Linked DNA regions of Drosophila melanogaster. The protein of the gene in region 1 interacts with the protein of each later gene in a pairwise test. Each region holds a gene or a part of one and is shown in the gene's direction. Other genes may lie near its edges.

Evidence for each region. The genes of interacting proteins can lie anywhere in the genome.
Region 2: the proteins of CG13045 (region 1) and CG13731 interact in a two-hybrid assay, tested with the Drosophila melanogaster proteins (one large-scale study listed by BioGRID).

What each region holds. Positions count from the first base shown.
Region 1 is NT_037436.4:16,289,285-16,293,040, reverse strand, and holds CG13045 (uncharacterized protein), read left to right. Parts: upstream 1-2,090; 5' UTR 2,091-2,165; intron 2,166-2,222; 5' UTR 2,223-2,243; coding exon 2,244-2,807; 3' UTR 2,808-3,329; downstream 3,330-3,756.
Region 2 is NT_037436.4:17,387,252-17,391,007, reverse strand, and holds the start of CG13731 (uncharacterized protein), read left to right. Parts: upstream 1-2,051; 5' UTR 2,052-2,260; coding exon 2,261-2,263; intron 2,264-3,756.

The sequences.
Region 1 (3,756 bases):
TGCTGGCAAGTTACGATTCCAAGCATGGATAATTAATTTCAAAGGGCCAAGCTCCTTTCCGGGAAACTTATTCCTGGCCGCAGGACAGGCACGTACTGGGGAAAAGGGAACTACACACGTTTTCCGCTGACCTTGCCCAGGACATTGACCAGCTGCAAGCAAAATCATCCGCACACCCACACGCCAGCATCGCCAGCAGTAACTCGATTGTTATTTGTGAAATGGATTTGCAACCGATAATTAAATGCAGCTCTGACCTTGGAAGTCCTTGCACCGAGTTCAACGACTGACCTCACTGCGTATAAGCAAGAAGGAGCTTTATCGCATTGTATAAATAATATGGTGGGGCAACATTGAAATTCAAATGAAATTGCGATTGAAGGAAAGCGTGTACATATTCAAAATTGATGAGCGAAAATAATTTTATGATTTGGTATACATTCAACGGTTTCCTCGAAACGAAAAACCATTTGAATAATATTTGTAGCATATCTTCCAGCTAACAGGTTGTGTGCAATCAATTGAGTGAATCAAATCAGCTGAAACTTCAATAGCTTGCAACAAAGTATTATTTTGGTGGTGGATGGGGGATACAAATTCGCACTTGTTGTTGCCAAACACGTGCAGCGATTTAGCACGCATTACATTACAATGCGGCTCCGTTTCAAGAGCACCTGTTGCCAGCGGCGGCGGAAAATGTGTGGAAAATTTGTATGGAAAATGGGGGAAAACGCGAAGCAACCACTCGAGGAGTAGAATCAGCTCAAAAGCTGGGCGTGTGCTCCACTTGGAACACAAAAGGAAAACAAAAAGAAAAACGTGCGTGGAAATTCCCGCTATCTGTGCCCCCTTTTTCGGTTCAGCGAAGGTGAACATATCGATTTCTGATTTAGCCACTTTGTTATGCTAATTTCCCCGGCTTTCCCGTCCTCGATTTTCCTCTGTTATTCTTTTTTTTCAGCGTCCTGCTCCTGTGTTGACAATTTCGATGAGCGCGTGTCGCGCATTTGGCAACCCAAATTTAATTGGCAACCCGTGCGGGAATTTCGCCTGTTTACGACAGATTCTGGACCAGATTTTATGGTAGCAATTCCATGCACACGTTTGCCCACTTTTGGGCGACTTGGAGGCGATGCACAAGACGCGGCCAACTTTTGGGCTTTTCCACGGCTAATTGAGAGCAACGAAAATGGCTTTGTTGGCGGCGGTAATAAATCGACTTTTAACTGGCGTGTGATATTTTGGCATTTATATTTCGGCAACGGCCATCAATCAGAGTCATAAGGCATAAAAAGGTGCCTGGAACGTGATCGCAATGGGTTTCTTGCAGCTCTTGCCACTTGCTTGCTTTTTTTTTTTTTGTCTTATATTTTATACTTTTTTGCAGCTGGTGGCGGCGGCAGTAAAAGTTGCTGCAGTGTAGCGCGTGCATTCGTAAATGTGATCCATGGCTTTGGGCGAATGAAGTGCACATGATAATGGCTTCTGAGGTGGAAGAGTTTAAGATGTTGATCCGAAGAGAGGGGTGTGTTAAGGTGCATATCTTATATCTGAGGAATTTATTTAGAAGATGTCTGAAATAATACATATGCTTATTAATTTTAACACCATCTATCCGACTACAGCAATTCTGAATTGGAATCTAATAAAAAATAAGATTGGATAGGTTGACTTCTTGACTTCAAACGGAGTCACAAAAGCATTCACATCTTTACTTTACTGATTCGGAGTTCTTAAACTGTTAACAATTTTTTTTTTTTCGGTAAAGTGTGAAGTTATACCTTCCACCTTAATTACCTCATTTGAAGTTTTGACCACCGACTTGTGGTTCGTACTTCCACCGAATTTCGCCTGCGGATGGGGCATTGCAAAACTTGTCGCATGCATTTGCCGCACGATTCGCTTGTCGATTGCACGTCGTGCGCAGATCCCTTAATGGAGTTTTTACCTTTCGGCTCCTCTAGTTTCCAGACCCCTCCTCCACTCCTCCTCCACCTACTCCTCCACCCACTAAATCAGCATAACTCGGATCGTGGTATATATAAACCTGCAATGGTCAGCCAAAATCGATTCATTTCGTGTGAAAGTGTCGCGGAGAAGTGACTTAATACGGAAATCGAAAACGGAAGAAAGCATAACGGGTGAAAATGTTAAATATTTCAAAAGCAAGTGAATCGAAAGTGACTTTTAACTGAAAAATAATAGTTTATCTTTATATATAGATACCTTTGATATGTGTTCTGATGTGTTTTGGTGCTCCAGCGCTTGGAAGTTTCCATCATGAACCATCGACGGTGGGCGTTCCCGTGGGAGTTCCAGTCCCAGTGCCAGTTCCTGTGCCTTCTCCATATCCGGTTCCATCTCCAGTGGCGGTACCTGCTCCAGTAGCAGTACCCGTTTCCGATACCGTCACCGTGCCAGCGGCCTTTAGTGCCCATCAAGGATTTGCGTACGGAGCTGTCGATCACTATGGTCCACCACCTCCGGCGATCTTTAAATATGCTACAACCTATGCGGCACCACAGCCAGTTATTAAGTACTCCCTTGGAGCTCCAGTGACCACTACCACCACCACCTACACCGGATTTGCAGCACCACCACCACCAGCCGTTCATTATGCTGCAGCAGCTCCACCACCACCACAGTTCATAGCCCGGTTTGCTCCTCCACCCACTGGCTATCAGTTTGCAGCTGCTGCCCCGTCATATGGCAGGTACAAGCTCCACTTTGGGTCACCACCTCATCATTCTCCGGCCGCCGTTTATGGAGCTCCCCCTCCTGTAGCATTTAGCACTCAGGGCTGGTAACTCGAGAAGCGCCAGCTGGGCTCTGGCTCATCATGCATAACTATGAATGATAATTTCCTCAAATTAGCAATTAATTAAATCTAAATAATGTTGTTATGTTTCGTATTATACGCGACTGGTGAATTTATGCGAAGAACGCGAAGCGTAGCGATTAAATTATGCTTATGTCAATACCCATAAATAATTCAGATGTTTTCATGGCTCGAAGTTATTTTTTGGCTCAGCCAATTTTGGCCAAAGGCGAGGCTTGACTTTGAGAGGGCCCAGAAAAATGAATAAATAATATAAATTTGCCGCTATTAAAGCTATGACTACGGATCAACTGACCTAAGTCAATGAATGAAAGAGGGAAATAGCGGAGCCATCCGTCAATTGGGTCAACAGTTTAAACTTTAAAGAGCCTTTGAGTTCACAGATAGACAGCTTGATTACACTACAAATATTGTTATTAAACAAATAAATCAAGTAAATTGTGTATTTCCGTATTTAAGTTTGAATACTAATATATTTGGGTGGCGGCTTAACATTTAGATTTAATGTTTAAGAAGACAGAACTGTATTTGTCCACTTTTTGGATATTAATTGGATCTTGTTATCTTGAATTAGAATACATAAGTATTTTCTTAGATACCTACATCTATAAGTCAATAAATCAAGCTATTACACTATAAACAGCACATTAGCTAAATTACTAGAAGTACAAGAACGCTATAGTCGAGTTCTTCGACTATAAGATACCCACTACTCATCTAGTGGGCGAACGAAATAGAAATTTTAACATTTTCTGTTGGCAAATCAATGTTAGTAAAATGAAAAAAAAAAAATGAATAAGTAAGTTTCTGGGTGTAATATTAAATTAATATATCTGAATTTTAAATAAAAACAGGAAAAGTTCCTCCCTTTTCTTTCAGTGTAAACCTCATTCGGATCCGCATTTATTGTGAGTGTA
Region 2 (3,756 bases), 1.1 Mb from region 1:
ATTAGATAAGTAATATTAATTGTCTACCTGAATGGGTACACGTCTTTAAAAACAAGCGTCGAGGCATTTAAGAATACAATTAATCTACTCAGCAGTTTCAACATGATTTATATAATATTTAATTGTGTTACAAAAAATTTGCATCTGCAGAATATGGTTCTTTGTGACGATTTTTTTTTTTGTATTTACCAGAAAAAGAGTGTAGTTAGTTTTATGATTTAAGATTTGTTTATCTCGCTTCTCGTTTTGTTTTTGATGACTAAAAATCCCATTTATACAAAATAATGTTCGGAAATAGCGCCAAGACAAGATCTCCATTCTGATAAAACATAATGAAAAACTAGATATTATGATTTCCGCGCCCGAAGACAAAGGCTCATAACAATTCACATACGAGCTCTGAAACTTCCCTAGATTAACAAATATATTTTTAAATTATCCAAATAGCAACCTGTCTAGAATGCGGTTTAGAACAGGCTCAAGCGACGGTCTTGTTTGATTCGAAAACCGCTAACGTCCTTCAGTGGAGTCCAAAATTTGAGGCAGCAAATTATCAGACACTCGGTATGGAAGTTGAATAATCGTCTGTTGCAATGTCGGATGAGGTGACAAAAAAAGGCTTTTCCTCTAGCCGGCAGTCAAGAAGCATTCGATGAGCCAAAAACTAAAAAAGAAAAAAATAATAAAAACAATTCAGTCGCTTCAGTTATCCGCAATGACAAATTTGAAATGTCAGCAGTCGCCGCCAAGTGTCATTGCCTTTGTGAAGATGTGCGAAGCAAGTTATGACCCGAATAAGTTAGCCAGCAATTATGTAATAAAAGACAAGAATTAATGTGGCTCTAAGTGGCGTCTGATGGCCGCAGGGGTGACTTCCGTTCGGCTGCACTTCCTCTGGGTGTTGTTCCGCCGTTTTATCTAGACCCTGACTACCCAGTGACCACGCACCTTTGGGCCGAAAGAGTTCAAAGTCACATCTATTTTGGGCCCGCTCATGACTGCGCGTGGCCAGTGGGTGTCACTCTGATTGGTTCATTAAAATCAAGACGTGACTGCTTGCGAATAAATAAATTCTAGTTATTAAACTGGCGAAATGCAGGCGATGACAAATGCCGAAACCCGTTTGGGAGTCGCTCGAAGAATGCAGCACTGAACACCGATCACCGATCACCGATCATCGAGATCTTCGAGTGTGCGTTTAAAGGTCACTCGGCTGACACGGAGTCAGAGATGAGCTGAGCCGAGCTGAGCCTACCTTAACATTCAACTCCGGCTGCCATCTGCTGACCCCCGGGCACACGCATTTTTGGCCAAGTCAACCGGTTCATGTTCAATTGGCCGACTCCAACTCCAACATCGACTCGCAACTCCAACTGCATTTAGGCCTGATCCGAGGGGTAAGTGCCATTAGCCAACGCCTGATCTTCTCGGCCTTATTTGCCTTGGCAAGCTTCGTTGGGAGCCTTGACTTGGCTCTCGATCGTCGAGCCAGCTTCGGCTTGTCTCATCGATTGATGAAATTCGGTGGCTCGGACCCATTTACCAAATTAAATGCTGCACGACAACGTGTTTAACACTCGCCGCAGACTTCTGCCAAAAGTACGAGCATATTTGCCAGCCATCGGAGTTGGCTAAATAGAAATGCCAACAAGAGCAGGCGTTGGTGGATGGATGGTCGGATGGCCGGATGGTGCGTCTGGCTTAGTTGCTCTTCTGCCATAATTGCTGGGCCTTAATTTGGCTGCCTTTTTGTCTTAGCCATGTTATCTGGCTGTTAACTCACAAACATCAAACAACCGAGACTGGTTGGCTTTCTGGTCAGCATTCAGCTGTCGGCGTCGCTGTCGACGAAGGCTGAGGCATCAGCAGCGGCAGAGACTTCGTATTCGGCTCATCTTCATCTGGCCAAAACGCTTTCGATTTCGGCTTTTGGCCGTGTGTTAACAGCTGTCGCCCAGGTGAAGATGCCTCTGCCGACGCCGCTGCCCAAGTGGGCAGATGCTGGGTCCGAGTATATATAGAAAATCTACAAGTTTTGATGCTTTAGTTGGTATTCCACACTCGACCTAGAAGTTAAACCAACTTAGCTTGGCATCGATCAAATTCAATCGTCCATTGAATTTGATACGATCGGTCGCGTCTTCTCCTTTCCGATCCTCACAGTACCGTCCGCAAGGATTATTCACGCACACCGCCTAGGATTACCTACGCACCCGGGATTACCGCAACTGCCGTTTGTAGCAGTCCGAAAGTGTACACCATGGTAACCGAACCCAGTTCCAATCCAATCTAAACCAAAACGAACAATGATCGTGTGCAAAGTGCAAAATAACGAAACAAGTGTCCCTCGGTGTGAAGACAAACAAGACAGACATTTCGCAAAGGAAAAGCAGTGCAGATGAAGATAAAAAGTATCAGTTTTGTTGGTCCAAAATATTTAGGGAGTTTCCACGTTTTATAGTTTGGGCTTGTGACAGTACAGAAAATAATTGAACGAATACGAATTTTCAATGATATTTGTATTCAAACTTTAATTTTAAATTAAAACATTTCTTGTGTTAAAATAATGTGTCAGCTATTTAGCGCTAGATCTTCAGAAATTTATTAATCCGAACTTGTATAAAAGGATACTAAAAAAGCATGTTCTACAATTTTATAGGGATACAATCATAAAAAAGGGTTATAAGATAAGATAGGGCCTTTAAGTTCATTCAAAATCATTCCGATTTTTCTCTGTGCATACCCAAGCATCGCAAACAAGAAGAAATAGCAAATAAATTGCCAACACCGACTGCAGTTCCAATTCAATCGCCATCTATTTGCATTTCACATTTTGTCGAGGGTCCAGCTCTGGACCCGGGCTATCATCGCGAGTTAAGAGTTGACCAGATGGCGGTTGACATTTAAGCCATGTAGAAATTGAGCAAGTGGCATCGAGTGCAATGTTACGCATACGCCGTGTTGGCCGCCCACAGAGCAAATCGCCTTGGCGCGATCCGCAATTTGCGTATTAAGTCATTAGGATGGACCAGCTGCATGTGCATTCTGCCATGTGGCGGCAGTTTCTATGTCAGCATTGACATGGCTGAAGATGAAATTAAAACTTGTTTTTTTTTCCATAATTTTCGCTTTTGCTTCTGACATTTGCTAGTCGCAATTTGCGATTGGCGTATTTAGGTAAATAGCCATAAAAACGTTGCCTTAAGTTAGATTCTTGACGTTGCCATTGAATAGACGTCCATTAATCACCATCATTGTTGCCAAAGAAGATTTCATTTGTTAAAGGGCCGACTGATCTTTTCCCCAGACTTTAATTCACCCAAATCTCTCACAGTTTCGGAAAAATAAAGTTGCCCCAAAAGTCTTGGCATTGGGGCTCTGCCCTCGAGGCGGTGTGAATCAGATTAATTAGCTGCCAATTAGCTCACTGAACAGTCGAGGGAATCGGTTTGCCCCTGCAAATATCTCTCCAAGTCCTTTCACTTTCTAACCTTTAAGCACCACCCGCCATAAGTCAAACCCGATTTGGTTCTCGATATCCTCAGCTCAATTGTGGCTGATATTTAAAACAAGTTAGAACAGCAAAAATTTTAGGTTCATTAGCATAAATTATTTAAAATCATTTACATACAAAGATCAAATATTTTTGAAATTAGCAAACAATCAGAAACCAACAAAAAAAATAAATGAAACTGGACCCAGTCGATTTTGGAGGTATGGCTTAAAATCTAACAGATTTGGTTATAAATGACAACC